2 linked regions of the Caenorhabditis elegans genome follow. The protein of the gene in region 1 interacts with the protein of each later gene in a pairwise test. Each region holds a gene or a part of one and is shown in the gene's direction. Other genes may lie near its edges.

Evidence for each region.
Region 2: the proteins of let-23 (region 1) and lin-7 interact in a two-hybrid assay, tested with the Caenorhabditis elegans proteins (3 studies listed by BioGRID).

The regions. Positions count from the first base shown.
Region 1 is NC_003280.10:9,195,455-9,200,668, forward strand, and holds the start of let-23 (receptor protein-tyrosine kinase), read left to right. Parts: upstream 1-2,057; 5' UTR 2,058-2,063; coding exon 2,064-2,193; intron 2,194-2,529; coding exon 2,530-2,550; intron 2,551-2,802; exon of another isoform or gene 2,803-2,891; coding exon of another isoform or gene 2,892-3,006; intron 3,007-3,486; coding exon 3,487-3,554; intron 3,555-3,734; coding exon 3,735-3,893; intron 3,894-3,978; coding exon 3,979-4,132; intron 4,133-4,182; coding exon 4,183-4,401; intron 4,402-4,563; coding exon 4,564-4,830; intron 4,831-4,897; coding exon 4,898-5,014; intron 5,015-5,101; coding exon 5,102-5,192; intron 5,193-5,214. UniProt on the Caenorhabditis elegans protein: Tyrosine-protein kinase receptor which, upon binding ligand lin-3, activates 2 signaling cascades: the let-60/Ras and MAP kinase signaling pathway and the let-60-independent phospholipase C-mediated Ca(2+) signaling pathway.
Region 2 is NC_003280.10:14,345,208-14,350,681, reverse strand, and holds lin-7 (Protein lin-7 homolog), read left to right. Parts: upstream 1-1,889; coding exon 1,890-2,090; intron 2,091-2,608; coding exon 2,609-2,766; intron 2,767-2,825; coding exon 2,826-2,901; intron 2,902-3,325; coding exon 3,326-3,520; 3' UTR 3,521-4,838; downstream 4,839-5,474. Other genes in the region: elof-1 (Transcription elongation factor 1 homolog), read right to left, coding at 202-340, 390-505; Y54G11A.17 (L51_S25_CI-B8 domain-containing protein), read left to right, coding at 1,276-1,440, 1,487-1,696; Y54G11A.9 (Core domain-containing protein), read left to right, coding at 4,957-5,070, 5,384-5,474.

The DNA.
Region 1 (5,214 bases):
CATTTTACGGTCCCCGAAGTAGTGAAACTGCACTGAAATATTTTCAGGTCGAAGTATTTTACAGGCTTCAAAATGGTCCACTGGTCCAGTCATCAATACCTTTTCCGGTCAGGTTACTGTAATCCAAAAATGCAACCTCGAACAAATGATATATGTTTATAGTCTCTAATACTTCCTTGACCTCTAAATACCTTTTCTTCTCCTCCTTGCCCTCAGTTTTTTCTCATAAATCTTCATAAACCCACTTGACACCTGGAATCTCTTCCCCTCCCTCATCATTTTCCAATCCTCCCTCACCTATACTTTCAATAACAAATTTTCTGCTCTTTTCTTTACGAAGAAATAGACAAAGTGACTCTGAGCCAAGCCACACAATCAAAATCCAATCATTTTCCACATGTTGATCTCCTCTTCGTTCATATTTCTTAGGCGCATCTAGGTGTTCAACCATATGGTAATTAGGACCGCCCGTGTTCTTCCCCACTAGCTGCCAACCGATGGCGGTATGACTTCAAAGGGAATGAAAATGAATCAAGAACCCTCATTCTTCAGTGTTGTTGCAAGATTGATTTATTAGTTTTGAGAGGTTTTTTTTGTTTCAATTAATAGATCTCCGAATTTTGCCTAAAATTTGAATGTATCCACTTTTTACTTTAAGATATTTATGTTAAAGTTTTCAATGAACATTTTTAATGCAAAAATTGTGGAGACATTATCTATTGTTTTTAAAAACATCAATGAAGATCCCGATGTAATTTTTTAGATTTAAAACGGTTTTCTAAAAGCAAAACGCCAAGCAAGCATTTGATAACCATTTGCACATAGAAATACGCCGCCCAGCCTTTTCCCATCAACCTATTCATATTCAAGTTCTATTTGTCGGGAGGTCCATTGAGTATTGTCCACGTTTATAAATCTATTATGATTCACAATCTAAAAGAGCTCAGAAATAAGAAAGAATGAGAATTAGAGAAGCAGAGAAGATGCTCAACAACCATCGTCTTCTTCTCTTCCTTATCAACCACCCACACAGTCCTGCTCACTTGCTCCTATCACTTTTTTCCTTGTACCGAAAGAAAAATATGAACAATTTGAAATACTGCTGACAAATTTTTGTGTACGACGTCAAATGCGTTTTGGCATGTGATTGAGGTTTTGATTTTTTTTGGTGTAAAATTCATTTGAAAAATAAATTCTTCGGACGAACCGGAAATTTTAAGCTTTTAGTTTCATATATCTTACTTACTTTTCAGCATATAAACTACAAAAACCTACAATAATTTTTCAACTGAAAATCGATCTGAACTCTTCTAAATTCTAAATTAAAAAATTTCCCGGATTTCCGCCATTTTCTTTTCGATATTTCTTAAAAGCATCTCCTCAAGTTTCCCATGCCGATCGTATGTTGTTCTTTCCTCTGATTCATAGATTTCAATTATAAAAGTGAGAGAACTTGAGAGCTCGAGACGTCACGCACAAAAGAAACCATTTTTCTAACTTCTCGGAGCAAGAGGTACACTATTTTTTAACGGCTCTTTTTTTTACAATAAAATTAGGACTGCGCAATCAATAAAAATTATTGAGTTCGTTCAGCGTTAAAAAAAATCAAAAAATTTTTGCAGAAATTTTGGCTTCAAATTTCAATTTCCACTTAAAATCCTTGTTAAGCCAGTAAGATGCTATACATTCAAACTAGGATATTAAACGCATACTACCCCAAACACACGAACTGTCGGAAGCTGTACCCGAAATTGTGTCCTCCAATTTATCTTCACACAATTTGACAGCAACTCGTCCATATTGAGAACTCGTCTCTGGGCCCCCCGATGGGGAATAGGTCGTAGACCACAAAAAGAACGTGGCGCCACAACACCAATAAAACATTTTTGTACGTTATTCTATGTATGGTTGAACTGTGTCGTTGTTGAAGAGTTTTAATCCCATCTCGCTCGCATCACCTTTTTTTGTTTCAAAAATCGCCTCCTTTACTGCCTATACCTCTCCCAATTCTCTTGACAATATCGACCAAAAACTGCATTACTGATGTCCAATTTTCATTTCAGATGAAGTTCCCTTTTTTATTCTTATTTTTAATAATCTTAATTGATACAACAATTGATGCGGCATCACCAACGTCAACACAAGGTTCAGTAACTGTACGGAGGAGGCAACGGAAGATTGTGGTGAGAGAATGTGAGTTGGCTTTTGGAATTATTACGTTTTCCATTATTTTGTTCAATTTGATCAAAATTTGAAAATCGTGAAAAATTGGATCTGAAACCGATTAGAGCGAGGTTATGAATCCTATTTTATTGGCTTGTCATTTTTTTGATAGATAAATGACTCCGCCTATATCTTGGTTTTTCTCAAAAAGATTTCTGTGAATACGAAAATTATTCCACATGAAATTGACCACCATAGTAAAAAACAAGCTTTTGGATTTTTATTAAAAGTTAAAATAATATAATGTTTAAAAATGCATTCCGAACAGGAAAGTATGTCTCAGAATTTGCAAACATTTTTTTAAAGGGAACCTAACAGATCCTAGTGGTGAGTAACCCCGTTATATCCAAATATAATTTCCTTTTCCCATTGTTTTTGTGGTATTTGTGATGTCCTCGTGATTTATCCAAAAACCCAATTAATTACTCTTTCCCCCACACATTCATACATAGAAATTTGCAACTCATTCCATTTCGAAGCACTTGAGAAGATGAAAAATGCTAGAATTGAGGCAAAAATGAAATGAAAATGAGCACACATTCAGTCTACTACTCTCTGTCCCGTTTTTGGGTATCACATGTATAAGAGGTAGAAAAGTGGTCATAGAAGAGTGAAAAAAAGGAAGAATTTGTCCAAGTTTTCTCACTATCTACAATTTTCTGGGAGGCATGCGATACCCTCCCTCTATCGGTTCAATTTTATTGATTATTCCTATTTTTCTAACATTTTTTGGAAATTCTAATGCACAGTTGTGGAAAAGATGTGTTTCACCTCAAGACTGCCGTAAGTGGATAAAATGGGAAATTGTCAACAATGGCAACTGATTTTTTTTAAATCATAGAATATACATATGCGATTTGATGTGTTCTTTCTAAAAAGTTTCAAGACATATACTTTAAAAAAATGTTCATTAAAGTAATACAATACTTTTTGTAGAAATTTAAATTTTTATTAATTTTGACATGAATCATGATATTTCGATTACAGAAAGTTATCAAAAGTTCATTACAAGTACAGTAACCGGTAGACACGTGAGAACTTTATCATTTAAAATGTCATTCAGAGGACAAGTAATCGGATCATCAAGAAAATTGAAAGGCTCCATTTTTTTCTTTTTTTTTGAGATAAGAAAAATTTTTAAAATAATTCTAGTTAATTTTTAGAGAAACTAGATTTTTTGAAACCAAAATATGCATCCCCTCTGTGAATTTTTCCTCTTTGAATCAAACAAAAACTTACACGAATTTCATTCTTGATTTTCAGTTTGTTCTGGCACAACCAATGGAATATCGAGATATGGAACCGGAAATATTTTGGAAGATCTGGAAACTGTAAGTTGTTGAATAGGGATTTATCTTTGATTTCTGCTGTTAAACCATACGATTAGAATTTTATTTTAAAAAAATTTAAAAAGTTCCGGATCGACGAAGTAACCATCCAAAACAAATAGTCAAATAGCCCCAGGCAAAACTAAATTTTTTGCCAAAACAAGGAAAAATGTCTTGATTTAGATGTACCGAGGGTGTCGTCGTGTTTATGGAAATCTTGAAATAACATGGATAGAAGCAAATGAAATAAAGAAATGGAGAGAATCGACGAATAGCACTGTGGACCCAAAAAATGAAGATTCACCATTGAAATCAATTAACTTTTTTGATAATTTAGAGGAGGTGAGTATGAAAACATCTACAACAATAGATGTATTTTCTACCAAAAACGTTTTTGCTTAAATCTTCCTTTACCTTTATTTTTCAGATTCGAGGAAGCTTAATAATTTATCGTGCGAATATTCAAAAAATATCATTTCCAAGACTACGAGTAATCTACGGAGACGAGGTTTTTCACGATAATGCATTGTACATTCATAAAAATGATAAAGTTCACGAAGTTGTGATGAGAGAGTTGAGAGGTTTGTTTGCTCAGCTTTTAGAGACATAGTATTTTATTTTTATTTTTCAGTGATTAGGAATGGAAGTGTCACAATTCAAGACAATCCAAAAATGTGTTACATTGGGGATAAAATCGATTGGAAGGAGTTACTGTACGACCCAGATGTACAGAAAGTTGAAACTACAAACTCACATCAACATTGCTATCAAAATGGAAAATCAATGGCAAAATGCCATGAAAGTTGTAATGATAAATGTTGGGGATCCGGAGACAATGATTGTCAACGAGGTTAGCAAAAAAATTAGACTAGACATAAGTTTTTGTTCATTGTGGCTGAATTTTTCAAACTTCTGAAAAAATTTAATTTTTGACACAGAACGATCAAAAGTTTCAAAATTATTTTAAAGAAATTATGTAAATAAAATTCACCAATATGCAGTATATTTTCAGTCTACCGTTCCGTATGTCCAAAATCTTGTTCTCAGTGTTTCTACTCGAACTCTACAAGTTCATACGAATGTTGTGACTCGGCTTGTCTTGGAGGATGTACAGGTCACGGACCAAAAAATTGCATTGCCTGCAGTAAATATGAATTGGATGGAATCTGTATCGAAACGTGCCCATCGCGAAAAATTTTCAATCACAAAACAGGACGATTAGTTTTTAACCCAGACGGAAGATACCAAAATGGAAATCATTGTGTGAAAGAATGCCCTCGTAAGTTATTTGGATAGAGATAAATGATGAATAAGCAGAATCCACAACTCACGAAATACTTTTTCAGCTGAACTTCTAATCGAAAACGATGTATGTGTTCGTCACTGCTCAGATGGTCACCATTATGATGCTACAAAAGATGTTAGAGAGTGTGAAAAATGCAGAAGTTCCAGCTGTCCAAAAAGTACGTTTTCTTTTTGAAATAAATCAATTTCAAGCTGCACTAATTCCTACAAAATCCCTAAAAGCTCAATAAATACAAAATTTTTAGTTTGCACGGTCGATGGACATCTGACAAACGAGACACTTAAAAACTTGGAAGGCTGCGAACAAATTGATGGTCATTTGATAATAGAGCATGCGTAAGTATTTCTTTCTTGGTTT
Region 2 (5,474 bases), 5.1 Mb from region 1:
GAGCTCGAGGATACCATTCTCGTGAGAATTGAAGGACCGGTTTTCGAGGCGTGCTGCAATGATGATCCAGAAAGTGTGTGGATGAATTGGGGATAGAAGGAAATAGAATTACTGAGAAAAGCAAAGAGATCAACGCGATGGGGATTTTGGAGGCTTATAAGGAGGTCGTATAAGAATTTAAGATTGACGGATGGGGAATATTCAGGCGTTATTTGCCTGCTCACAGGCATCCACCCAATCAGAATAGACGTCGATTGGCTCGGAGAGGTAGTTGATGTTTGTTTGGAAGTCTTCAGAGCAGACACGACACGAGATATAACCGACATTCTTTTCGCGATCCCTGGAAAATTATTACGTTTTTTTTTGAAACGATTTTCCTTAGAAAGTACATTTTCACTTCACAAACGCGTTCATGATTGCAAAACGGACAGTTGAATTGGGTGTCGAGTGGCATTACAGCCTTTGCCTTGGTTGGAGCCTTTCTCTTCGACTTTCGCTTTCCCATTGCTGCGGATTGTTTGGATTGGTTCTGAAAAACAATTATTAAGTTCGGGAAACGTAAAAAGAACAGAATATTTTTGCAGAAGGTAAAAATATGTTCCAATCTCGAAAAAAAAGTTCGAAAATTACATTTAAATTGCAAGAAAATATACTAATATACAAACCACTCAAAAATGCGACACTCAGAAATACTATATTGTTTTTTTCTGTATTCTAAAAACTATAACGTATGCACAATGTGAAAATTTTTCGTGAGTGTCGGCTTGAAATTCCACATTTTTGGACTTCAAATTCACAAAATTTTTTGAATCATCAGGTTTTATATGGAAAATTTACCTATTTTGACACAAAACATAATATTTCTATCATATAAAAACGGCAAAAATCCGGCAAAAAGTAACACGAAAAACAGCCAAAAAAGAAATTTCGAAACAAAATTGGCGCGAGGAAGACAGTTAGATGCGCAGGTTTTCTCGACTACGGTCTGCAGTACACGTTGCGTACTGCGTACAAAAAATGTTGACCGTAGTCTCCAAAACAATTAAGCATTTATCGGACTTTCCGGAGCAGGATTTATTCATTTTATGCTTAAAATTAAACATTTCTCAATATTTTATCAATAAATTAAATGAGAAAATTGTTTAAATCGTTAAAAAGCATTAAATAATGCTGAAAAACGTTAATTTTCAATAAAATATCTTTCTAGTGATGCAATGCAACTCAAAATTATAATTTAACAATTAAAATTATCTAAATTCAAATTTAAATATTCAGATGGGCCTCAAGGGATTCACCGGTAGTTTTCAACAAATTCGCGGACTTCTACGACCACCAAAGAATCTCCCGTTCCGTGGAATTTTCCGGAAAGACGGAGAAGTTGTGCGAAAAGACGATTTGCTGGTGAATCAATTCAAAATGAATTATCATCCAGGGTTAAATGTAAGATTTATTATCAAATATCTTTGATTATTGAGAAGTTATTCAGGTTTACTATGAAAACGATCGCGGAGAACGTCTTCTGCGTGCCCATTGCGACGGAATCGTTCGTATCTCCCAGGAAAAATGCGATCCGGACTATGAAATTGAGGAGATGAAGGGATACGAGTATAGGAAAGACGTGGATTTGTACAAAATGACGTTCAATGTGATTCCGCTGGAATTGTCTCAGAAGCACACGCTGCGACATGAAATTTAAATTTAATTTTTTGTCGATTTTTTTTTTGGTTTTGTTGTGTTTAATAATTTTCTGACGGGCTATGGTCAATTAGAATAGTAAATAATGTTTTTCCGCTCTGGATAGCTTAATTTTGTAATTTTTAATTGGTTTTCTTGCCATTTTTACCTATTTCCGTCCTATTTTTCCCCTCCTTTCCAACCAAATCTTCCAGATGGATAACCCGGATGGTCCGAATTTGGAGCGGGACGTTCAGCGTATTCTAGAGCTCATGGAGCACGTTCAGAAGACTGGAGAGGTCAATAATGCAAAATTGGCATCGCTGCAGCAGGTGCTACAATCCGAATTTTTCGGTGCCGTCCGAGAGGTCTATGAGACTGTTTATGAATCAATTGATGCGGATACAACGCCAGAGGTTCAGTTTTTTTTGATAAAACTGACAAAAATGCCGGAATTGAAATTTCCGGCAAATCGGCATATTGCCGGAATTCAAATTCCTGGAAAATCGGCTTATTGTCGGAATTGATAATTCCGGCAAATTGGCAAACTGTCCGAATTAATACTTCCGCCATATCTGCAAATTGTGGTTTTGCACATTTTTTTTGGAATTTTCAAAATTTAAATTTTAAAAAATTCAAAAAGGCACAGTTTTAAGTGTTTCCGTATAATGAAAATCCCTACAAAAAATTCCGGAAAATCGGTAGTTCGGCGAAAATCAAAATTTTCGGCAAATCGGCAAATTGCCGGAAATGCAAATTATGGCAAATCGGCAATTTGCCGAATTTGGCAAAAAAAAAGCCGAGCGACAATTGCCGCCAACCTTGATAATTAAAAGTTGTCGAAATTTCAAATTGTAGTTTTTTTATTTTTCGAAATAATTTTGAGCCGTTTTTGAACAACAGAAAACAAAAAAAAACACTAAACATTTTTCAGATAAAAGCCGCCGCAACAGCTAAAGCAACAGTGGCGGCGTTTGCTGCAGCCGAAGGCCACGCGCATCCACGTATCGTTGAGCTCCCAAAAACCGATCAAGGGCTTGGATTCAATGTTATGGGCGGCAAGGAGCAAAATTCACCGATTTACATCTCCAGGTGCAGATATAAAAATATTTAATGATTTTATAATTTAAAAAAAACGATTTGAATTGCAGAATAATCCCTGGTGGCGTAGCCGACAGACACGGAGGTCTCAAACGAGGCGATCAACTTATTGCGGTCAACGGAGTGGTGGGTTAAATGTTTAATTCAATTTTTTTTTAGTTTTTTTCGGAAAAAAAACATCGAAAAATATTGATTTTTCAATGTTTTTCAATGAAAAAAAAATCTAAAAATTCATTTTTTTAAGCAAAAAACGAAACTTACTTTAATTTAAGTGTTTTTTTATCGAAGATTTCAGATTTTTAGTGTTTTTCAGAAAATAAACCGGAAAAAAGTAAAGGAACCAGTAATAAAAGACAGAATTTTTCGGTTTACGAAGATTTCCATATAAAAGAACATTATAAATTTTTCTTAATATTTTTTTTCGAAAAAATGAACAATTTATTCTCATTTTTTAAAATTGAAAACAACTACACTTTTAATTAGTAGAAGAATATAACTCGAATTAGAAAAAAAACTTTGATTCAAAAAAATAACTTTAAAAAAATTTCAGAACGTGGAAGCCGAATGCCACGAAAAAGCAGTTGATCTTCTGAAATCCGCAGTCGGAAGTGTAAAGCTAGTGATCCGTTATATGCCGAAACTCCTGGATGAAATGGAGCGGAGATTCGAAAGACAGAGAATTCGATCCACTCAGCAGAGTCCAACACTCCCGACGCCGTCTTCTTCGACAAATCCACGAAGATAAAAAAGACGGAACATTTGTAGAAATCAAGAATTCGAGAATTTTTGGAAAAAATACGAAAAAAGCCACAACAAAACTAAATGTTACGGGAACACTAAATTTCGAGAATGCGTACTGCGCAACATAATTGACGCGCAAAATATCTCGTAGCGAAAACTACAGTAACTCTTTAAAATATTACTGTAGCGCTTGTTTCGATTTACGGACATCATTTATTAATCGATGAAATATCGAAAGAAAACACAAAAAAAAGACAACAAAAAAACAAACAAAAAAATATATTTTTATTTTTTATACAAATTTGTGTTCGAATTGGTTTTTCGTTTTTTTTTTTGTTGTCTTTTTTATGTTTTCAAATGATGTCCGTAAATCGACACCAGCGCTACAGTAGTACTTTATAAAATTACTGTGGTTTTCTCTTCGAGATATTTTGCGCGTCAATTATGTTGTGCAATACGCATTCATGTGCTCCCGTAATATAGATAATGGACATTAAAACAATATTTCTAAAATTTTTGCATCAAAATGTTTTGAGGCCCCACGAAAAGGGGAGCAAAACGAAAAGGGGATCTGCAAAAAGGGGATCTGCAAAAAGGGGATCTGCGAAAAGGGGAGATACGAAAAGGGGAGCAACGAAAAGGGGAGCTGGCACTGTGCCAAACGCACAAAACGCAATTTTTCTCACGCAACGCACGTTGATTTTTGAAATTTTCTTCTAGAAGATACGCTTAACAACACGCGACGCGTAACATCGGAGCATCGTTGTATCGTTTTCTTCGAGAAAAATAGCGCTTGGCACAGTGCCAGATCCCCTTTTCGTTGCTCCCCTTTTCGTATCTCCCCTTTTCGCAGATCCCCTTTTTGCAGATCCCCTTTTCGTTCTGCTCCCCTTTTCGTGTGGCCTCAATGTTTTACTGCAAGAGTTCGCATTTTTCTGCAAACATTGATTAGTTTAGCCGAGAAAATAGAACTTTTGTAGCAATATTGAAAGATCTTTTCTTGAAACTGAAATTTTCGCTGAAAAGTTTGCATTTTCCACCATAAAATCCCTATTTTTTCTATTTTTTTCCAGTTCATGTATACTCATTTCTAACTTCTTCTCTTCTATTCTTTGTTCTAGATTTTTAGATATCCCTATATGTACATTATTATCTCTTTTTCCGTTTTCAGACAAATTTCCAAAACAATGTTAATCTCAACACTCACCCTCTCCCCAAATTATTGCCCAAAAATTGCTTTAATAATCTTGCTTTGCCTTACGTTCTTTCAAATAGGTGCTTTTCTCCATGTATCTTTAATAACTAAATTTTTAAAATAATTTTTTTTCATTTTTCGGCATTTTTAAAAAAATATTTTCCATGTTTCAAAAATCACGAAAATCTATCTTTTTGATGTAAAATTCAACTTTTTTCAGATTTTTTTTTCAGAATTTTCTCGAAATGCTCACACAAAAAATCGGCAGACTAATGGCTTGTACAGTAACCCGACAGGCTCATCGGATGCTCACCGAGCAAGAGATTAAAGTGACGAATAAGGCAGCGAGCAGGCTTAAAGTTAGTCTGTCCTTGGGCGCCCAATTTTTTTGAAAATTAGAAATATTGTAAATGGAAAAACGAGAAATTTCGATTTTCCAGTTTTTTTTTTCGGAAAAAAATCGGCACTTTCCTATTTTTCAAAGTTTTTCAAAGCATTTAATTTCCGGTGTTTTTTTTACAAAAAAATTGTATACTTTTGATTTGTAGTGCTTTTCAGAGAAACCCCGATTTTCAAAAAAGAAAGTTAAAAAATTTTGTGAATATTGTTCGAAAATTCAATTTTTTTCAATGACTAGAAAAAAACCTTAATTTAAAAAATTAATTCTTCAAGGAAGTCGTTGATAACGGAGAACGCCTACGACTTGAGGTGGATGGAGGTGGATGCTCGGGATTTGAGTATAAAATTCGATTGGACAAAAAAA